Linked DNA regions of Danio rerio. The protein of the gene in region 1 interacts with the protein of each later gene in a pairwise test. Links are inferred from orthologs where the notes say so. Each region holds a gene or a part of one and is shown on either strand. Other genes may lie near its edges.

Evidence for each region.
Region 2: the proteins of pde4dip (region 1) and lmo4b interact in binary tests that used the Homo sapiens proteins (3 or more experiments, as listed by UniProt). The two-hybrid records come from large-scale screens. The link is inferred for Danio rerio from reciprocal best matches to the Homo sapiens genes PDE4DIP and LMO4.

What each region holds. Positions count from the first base shown.
Region 1 is NC_133195.1:37,868,209-37,872,751, reverse strand, and holds the start of pde4dip (myomegalin), read right to left. Parts: upstream 2,813-4,543; 5' UTR 2,179-2,812; coding exon 1,015-2,178; intron 1-1,014. UniProt on the Homo sapiens protein: Functions as an anchor sequestering components of the cAMP-dependent pathway to Golgi and/or centrosomes.
Region 2 is NC_133181.1:28,424,002-28,428,359, forward strand, and holds the start of lmo4b (LIM domain transcription factor LMO4b), read right to left. Parts: upstream 2,895-4,358; 5' UTR 2,524-2,894; intron 254-2,523; 5' UTR 249-253; coding exon 13-248; intron 1-12. UniProt on the Homo sapiens protein: Transcription cofactor. Plays a role in establishing motor neuron identity, in concert with MNX1, acting, at least in part, to disrupt LDB1-LHX3 complexes thereby negatively modulating interneuron genes in motor neurons.

The DNA.
Region 1 (4,543 bases):
GTTTTATTTCAGCTAAAATAAAAGCAGTTTTTAGCTTTTTAAAAGCAAATATATATATATATATATATATATATATATATATATATATATATATATATATATATATATATATATATATATATATATATATGTGTGTGTGTGTGTGTGTGTGTGTGTGTGTGTGTGTGTGTGTGTGTGTGTGTAAGTCTTTTTTTATGTCGACAGAATAAACAATCGTTATATAACGATTTGCCTAATTATTCTATCCTGCCTAATTAACCTAGTTAAACCTTTAAATTGCTCTTTAAGGTGAATACTAGTCTTGAAATATATCTAGTGAAATATTATTTACTGTCATCATGGCGAAGACAAAATAAATCAGTTGTTAGAAATGAGGTATTAAAACTATTATGTCTAGAAATGTGTTGAAAAAAAAATCTGCTCTCTGTTAAACAGAAATTGGGGAAAAAAAATTAACAGGGGGCTAATAATTCTGACCTCAACTGTATGTTCTAGACTATAAAGTGTGACAGAGCCAAAACTCTGTTTTTTTTTTTGTTGTTGTTAACAAATGTTTTGTAACCTTATAATTGTCTTGACAGTCACCTTTGATTAATTTAACATGTCCTAGCTAAAAAAAGATATATATGTAGTTAAAAGCATACCTAACTGACCTCAAACTTGTGCATATACTGTCTCGCATGTATTCATTAGACAAGCAAAAAAATAAGGATCCTTTTGGAATTAGCTTTTAGAATGATGCACTGTTGCTAACAACATCAGCTGCAATGAAAGAGTTGCTAAGAGGATGATGAGTAACCTAGTAATCAAAAGCAGTCAGAGAACTGAAGAGCTCTGGGACAGAAAAGTGCCCGGGGGAGTTTTTCATCCTCTCATCTAATTTGTGCTCTATAAATTCATCTTCCCTAATTCTTCATGTAGTCCGCAGAAATTTGTTTCAAACAACCATTAATGATTCCTCCCTTTCCTCAGTAATGAACGTTTTTCTGACAATCCTCTGGTTCTTTTATGTACCTTCGGAAGGCCTGATGGCTTGCACTGCACATAATCATCCAACCACTGGTCTTCCATTTCTGCCAGCTCCAGCTGAAGCTCCTGCTGAATGCTGGAAGGCACATCTGGAAGCTGGGGGAAAAGTGGACACTCCATCTCAATGTGAGGCACTTGCAGCAGAGGGTAAGGGCTTTCCATGGGTGTAGTATTAGTTTTGAGGAGCACAGGGATCCGGCTTCCTCTCTGGCTCTGGAGAGGGTGATATTCACAGCTTTTAAGCAGGCTTAGGGCCACATCAAGGCCACACACAGAACCAGGTTTGGACTCGGGCCTTCTGACAACAGATTGTTCCTCCTCAGACTCTAGAAGTGGGAGCTTTAGATAAGATTCTTGGGTAACATCTACAGCAGTGTCCAAAGACTCCACAGAGGAGGCAGGACTCACTCCGACTGGCTTTAGTTCACATGATTGGTTGTTCTCGATGGGTTCTGGTGGAGGAGCGGATGGGACAGTCTCTTCAGTGTTGTCCTGAACACTACCAGAGTACCGTGTGGAGGGCCCACAGGAAGTGCTCCGACCTACTTTTCTGGGAACCTTGCAGACAGCCTCATAATCTGAATCGGTCACTCGCAATGCAGCGCAGCCTTTACACTTCCTGGGACGTGGACCTGAAGCGGCATCTGCATGGTGAAGAGGGCATTGGTGGTCTTGAATCTGCTCTTGAGGGCACTGCTCAGCCCAAGACTCATAGACAGAGTATGTGAGATCTTCCTGCAGGAGGGCACTGTATTCAGCTTCGGCCAACCTGGCAAAGTCCACCACAGTAGCGTCTGTGGCACCTCCATCCACTCCCAATTCATCAGTGTTGTTTTTGCGGTACAGTCCACTGATGCATTGCCTGAGCCTGTCTTTCTCCAACAAGAGCTTCTGCATCCGCTCCAGGGATAAGGCCTCCACCCTGGCGATCACAGTGTCAAATCGGTACATTCTGTCCAGCATGAAGGCACACTTGCTGCAGGCGAACTCTCCTCGGCCATCCCGGGTCATTTCTCTGCCCAAAGCATAGGAAAGCAGCACCTGCAGACTCAGCTTGGCAGTTGGGTGAAAGATCCATCGCCGCTGGTTACCATACAGCTCCCTTGCACAAATCCGACACACGTCCTTACTCTTTGAGTCCAACATCATAAATATTCAATTGAATAACAAACTAAAGATTGTTTCAAATTTAAACCATGAGTGAAAGTGAAATAAAATCTCATGGCATGTAAAGTTCCTTCTTTTCAATTCTTCCTTAATGTCCACCAATGAAAAGGAAGACATCTATGGTTTTAAAATGTACTACTATTTATTGATTTAAAGATACTATAATTTTAAGTCAGGTTGTTTATCACAGATGAGATAAGGCCTTTAATTCATTCCATTCAACCCTCTGTCTTGTAATATTAAACGTCCTTAATTATGTCACTGAGGTCATTCTTTAGGCAGATTTACAGCAGCAAACAAAACTCGAATTTGATGTCGAGATGCTCGTCCTCGTCAGAAGAGATGAAGACGCGTGTTTTGTCCATCACCCGCGCGTTCCCGATTACGTTTCATTCGCTCTTCTGTGAAGACGCCGACATGACAGGACATCAGTTAAATCCCACCGTCCGACTCCAGTTTGAAAAACGTGTCATTTTATATAACCGCCATTACCCCGGAGTATAAACGGAAATAATATCATATTCTATCCCCGGGTCGTCACACTAGAAGGTTTGACAGCAGTTTGTGTGTATAATGTACACACAGCTGAGCAGCGGACGATGTGGCAAGAAAAGAGAGAGAGAGACAAAATGGCGCGTACTATTTCCAGAACAAAGAGGGGTGTCAAAATACCAGTTTGTACAAGATATAATACAAATTTAATGCGCAGGAACGGCGGTTGACTCCTGAACACACATCGATATTAGGGATACGCCATAAATCGCAACTGTATCAGTCATTGCTCGTAAACGGAGTTTTTATAAATTATCCGATCACCCCTCGCTGTGTGCAGTGGTACCGGTCAAACAATGGGAACAAGCCAAGCGAAAGATGACACTACTTTACATACTTATTTCCATTTTCGTCAAAGAAAGTGCGGCTGGGAAAGTGATTTATTTACATGGCTTCTTTCTTGTTTCAATCTAATAATAACAGCTTGTTTGTTAATCTAACTTTATAGATTGCTAGAAAATACTTGAACTAAACCAGTTAAGTATATCACAGATTAATATTCATGGTTAAACATAAATATTTGTTTACATTAATATCAACATTGATAATAATACATGTGTTATTGTAATAAGAACATTAATTAATATGGTTCAGCATTGATTGTAAATGACAGCAGTAAAGACTGTCAACTGATAATTTACAAAGTGTGAAACACACAGATTTGTTATTAGACCTAATATTCATGGTTAAACTTGAATATTTGTTTACATTAGCATCAACATTGATAATAATACATAAGTAATTGCAATGGGTCTATTAATTACTGTAGTTCAGCACTGATTGTAAATGACAGCAATAAAGAATGTCAACAGATAATTTACAAAGTTTTAAAAACACAGATTTGCTATCAACGCCCACATTATGAAGACAGTCAGATCCATCTCTTATCAGGTAATACAGATTCTACTGATTAAAGCAAGAAATAACTAAATGATGTCAGTTTTTATAGCGACATCTGCATGTTCTGGTAGTTTGTGTAGTGGATTTGTCTTTTGAATGTCTCTATAATTTACAGAGCCTTGACAGAACACCAAAACACAAACTTGCCTCAATCAAAAACCTATTTGTTCTAATCAGGCAAATGTAGCATTTTCTCATTGTTTGCGTCAGCCAGTCACAGTGACGACAAGGAATTGTGGAGAGACGGTAAGATTAACTGCAAGTTTTCATAATTATTCAGTGTACAGCGTGATGTAATTGTTTATTTTGAGCTCTAAATTCACGGCAAAAATCACTTTGAAGAAATATTTCAGTTCTTTGCTAAAGTTTACCTTTGTGTTTTACTCTCTGCCCCAATGGTAGCAATTTTTGGCTGCTCAGATTTTCTGAAGACTCTCAACCGAAATGTACAGTTACCAGTTCAGTATGGCATGATCACAGCAAAAAAAAAAGTCTCTTGTTTCTGGAAGAAAAATGTTAGGCTTCTTTTTCTGATTGGTTTCTTGGACTTACCTCCACATTTGGAAAGAATTAAATATACCACTTCTGGGAACTCTGCGAAATGTGAGAAAATTAGGGATCCAGTCCTTTTTTTTCTATTTTCTGAAGAATTGTACGTTTTTTTCTCTCTTTCTTTACATCCTTTGCTGTGTCTTTTTGTAGGTCATATATGTCTTGTATGTCACCATTTTCCCTTGTTTCATGCTTTTTTTTTAAACATTTCGCACAGATTATTGTTCTATGATGGGTTTGTCTTTCTGTTCATTGTTTTTCTATGTCTGCAATAACTATAATAAAAATAATTTTTTTAAAAACCACTTTGAAAATCATTCATTTACTTCCTTTTTGGCTTTAT
Region 2 (4,358 bases), on another chromosome or scaffold:
GATGTGTCTAACCTGATGTAGTCGTTTCTACATAGGATCATGCCACTCTTGGTGTAGCAGGATGTGCCGATCTCTCCAAGCTGGGCCTGGCAGCAGGAACATTTCAGACAGCGGCTGTGCCAATAGCTGTCCATGGCATAGAGGAGAAACCGATCAGCAATCTTTCCCCCACAGCCCGCGCAGCGCTTCCACGACAGAGATCCCGCTCCAACAGGTGGGGGCTGGGCACTTCCTCCAGGGTTCACCATTGTGTCTGCAGAAACATAAAGAGACAGGGAGAAACACTGGAGCAGTAAGTCAAGAGTTAAGCAGTTTTTAAATGCGTGTGCAAGAGTACTATTTTATATTCTAGTTTTGTAGCTAAATACAAATCAAAAGCCCTTTCAACAAATGACAAACAGTTGAAATTAAAATTAGTAGCCCCTATTTTATTTATTTATTTATTTATTTTCCTAAATGATGTTTAACAGAGCAAGGAAATTTTCACAGTGTGTCTGATAATATTTTTTTTCTTTTGGAGAAAGTCTTATTTGTTTTATTTCAGCTAGAATGAAAGCAGTTTTTGATTTTTATTTTTTTTTTATTTTAAGGTCAATATTATTAGCTCCTTTAAGCTATTTTTTTCTTTAAAAATCTACAGAACAAACTTCTAAACAAATGTTTAGAAATGTGTTGAAAAAATCCTCTACTTAAACAGAAATTGGGGAAAAATAAACAGGAGGGCTAATAATTTTGACTTCAAAAGTATATATATATATATATATATATATATATATATATATATATATATATATATATATATATATATATATTTGCACACAGTTAAAAAAAGAAAGAAAAGTAACTATAAAAGCATTCAGCATTACTTAAATCCACATCTCACAAAGCAAGCACACCTAAGTTTCCTCAACTTCTGACAGAAGTTTTGTCTTAGAAATATCTAAAACACCTGGAGCCTGAACAGTGACCTAAAACACTGAATGTTTTGGGAGGCACGCTTCCTAAAAGCTCTTTTGAAATAATTTAAATGCATATAATGCCTTCAAGCAAGTCTGAGAATTGTTTAAAGTGGCAGGCTGTCCTTGATCTTTATCTAAGTGCTGAAGTCAGCTCCTTTGGTCCATTTGTGATAAATGTCTGTTCACTGATAACATTAAAGTCACTGGAACAATTAGAAGCACTGGCTTTTGTTAGGTTGTCTGCATTGCTTTAAAAGTACATTTTCCTGAACCTTCATGAGAGAGAGAGAAAGAGAGAGAGGAATCCAAATGCTACTGTTGCCAGAACTGGAGAAGTTAATTGAGGAAGCCTTAAAGTTGTACGACCCATTCAGAGGTCGACATATTCCAATTGCTTTCACTAAGGTTATCAGATGACGGATTTCCAGCCAACATCATGAAGAACATTCAGCAGCATTCGCTTTGGGGACTGGTCACTGCTGCGTGAAATTACCCCTACTATGTTGGATCATTCTGCATATGCAAGAAATCAGTTAATGCCGGCCTACAGAAATATCTGCCTCTGACAGAAATCACATTAACCACAAACCCTCATTTACGATTGCAGTTCTGTGCTTTGCTCTGTTGATCCATCAGTACTGTGTGTGTGCAATGTTTCCCAGGTTTCATAAGGAGGGCTGCTGGACCGAAGTGGGAAAGATTAAAATTTAAGATATATTCGTGAAAGGCTGTAAGCCAAATCTTTGTTGAAAGGTAATTAGAGGAGAAGAGAGAGGCGGGGGGTAGAAAACATTGCACTGAGAGAGAAAGAGAGAGAGAGAGGCATTCAGTAACCCCATTAGTGGAGGCTCTTAGGGACAAGCAATACCTTAGTGCTGATTAAATCTAAAGGGAGATGAATCAGAGACCGAAAGTGACTCCCCCAGATAAATAAGATCGGACCATCGTCAAGTTTCATTCCCTGGAAGAGGGAAGAGGGGAGATTTGAAGAGAGGGAGGGGGTGGCTTTTAAGTCAAATGGGCAAACTCAAGTAATTACACGGACAGGCAATTTAAGAGAGGGGATGTGCAGAAATATAAAACAGATCAGCAGCCCATGGCCAGTAATACAGATCGCGGTGCTGGAGACTAAATACAGCTGCTCCTGCCAGAATGCACAATGCAACATGGACAGAATTGCACTTGTGTTATGGTTTGTTGACCATCTGTACAGCACGCGCGCACTTAAGATGCACTAATAAGATATTAAACTCGAAATGCCAGCAATTTCCAAGATTACGTCTAAATAACCTATGTGGTCTTCTTATGAAACAACGCGCATCGCTCATGTTTAATTCACTAACGTACATTATTACGGTATAAGTGCGTGACATGCAACACAATTTGCACACAAGCACAATACATAAAATCTAGTCATTAAGTAACTGTAATCTTTTATGCTTTCGTGTGTAGTGTTTTTCTGCAACATCAATTCTGTCGCTCCGTAACAAACGTGTCTCGTCAAACTACGAAATATTACCATTCATAAAGCAAAATACGGTTAGTTGAAGAGAAGTGCACTTACCTCTTTGAAATGTAATGGTTGAATGGTGGTGAGAAATGTACAGCAGTCTGTTTTCTCTGTAGAAAATATATAAAAAATAACGCGCACAGTCCAACAAACTCACAGACGGAGCAGCGCGTGGATGAACACTTCTCGCTGCTGCGAAAGAGTCAAGCAAATGGAGTTTTCAGATTATATTTCCACTGTTGCCGTCACCTTTTTTCTCAGATGCTCTTATTATCACTGAAAAGCTCGGCGGCGGGTTTGTTGATGGAGCTGTCGGCAAGGTCTTCGGTAATTTCCATAGATGAAGAGAGCGCTTGTGTTTGTAACTGTCCTCTCTCGCGCGCTGATGTCTCGCCGCTGCTTGTCGCTTGTGCTCTACATGTGTCAGTGACAGAAAAAAACCCAGAGTAAACCTCCTCTCGCAGGATGACGTCAATCAGGCTGTGGCCAATCATGACGCACTCCATTCAAGCGGAATGAGGAATACAGCCAATCAAAAGAAGGCGAGGTTGACTTCGACACACACTGTTCAAAGAAGGAAAGATTGCGGTTGAGAGTGGCTGTCTGCTTGTTGAGGTTGGACAGGGCAGAGGTGTTCAACCGTCGGGACCGGGTCCCACTATGGGGCCTCGGTAAGCGCACAAGGGGTCCCCAAAATGAAACATTTTTAAATAAAAAAACATTTTATACGGAATTAATTCCTCATTTACAGCATAAGACCAACAAGAACCGTACATTCATAATATTTATTATTTAAAGGAGTTGACAGTTTTCACATCTGCATAAAATCACAGCTCCCTGAATATTGTCTTGCATGTTAAGAAAAAGTTTAGATATATTTATTGTATTTTCTGTTACTTTTAGTCTCTGTTATATTACATTATTAATTGGTTTTCATTTTTACTTATATATTTATGTATTTGTCTTTATATATTTGTAATCAAATGTAGTTAATTTATTTGATTAAATATGATTATAAATTTTACATGACTCTTCAACTAAAATATACTTAAAATATTTAGTTTTACAGTTATTAGTTTACTTAATACTAATGTGGTATTAAAATAATAATAATAATAAAATAATAATAAAAATAATAATAACAACAACAATAATATATATATATATATATATATATATATATATATATATATATATATATATATATATATATATATATATATATATATATATATATATATATGTTTTTTTTTTTTTTTTTGTGCAGATATGAATTATTCTACCTTTCCTTTGACATTGAAAGAATGTCTGCAGAGCAAATCCTTCATCTGGAGAACTTCTGCTCCATATCTACAAAACTGATTGTGGAAGTTTCATGCTATTAGTAAGTATTCCAGTGTTTAAGTGTTCCCATATACATATTTCATCTATTTCATATTAGATTGACTGAGGGCTGTGTTAACTATATAAAAGTCTATTTGGTTTCATGGACAAAGTGAAAATTCACTACACCACTACAGAAGTCACGCTCATGTTCTTATAACAGTGGCGCCATCCCCTGGTATAAATGAGAACTAAAACTATAGATTTGTTGGTCGCCTTTTCTAAGATTTAGCTTTGAGACTTAGCATAACCTTAATAAATTCTTTAAAATAAAATAAAATATTCAATAATAAGGTTAACATGTCATGCACATCATTATGTCACAAAATCATGAAACAACTGTTATTCTATTTATTTACAAAGGTCACAAATACACCAAGAAAGAACATCATTTTTTATGTCCGAAGGCTTTTAAAGATGATTTGGGTAGCACTTTATTTTGATGGTCCAATTGAGTATTAGTAGACTGTCTGCTAGATATCTGTTGATACTGCTCCTTCAACAGA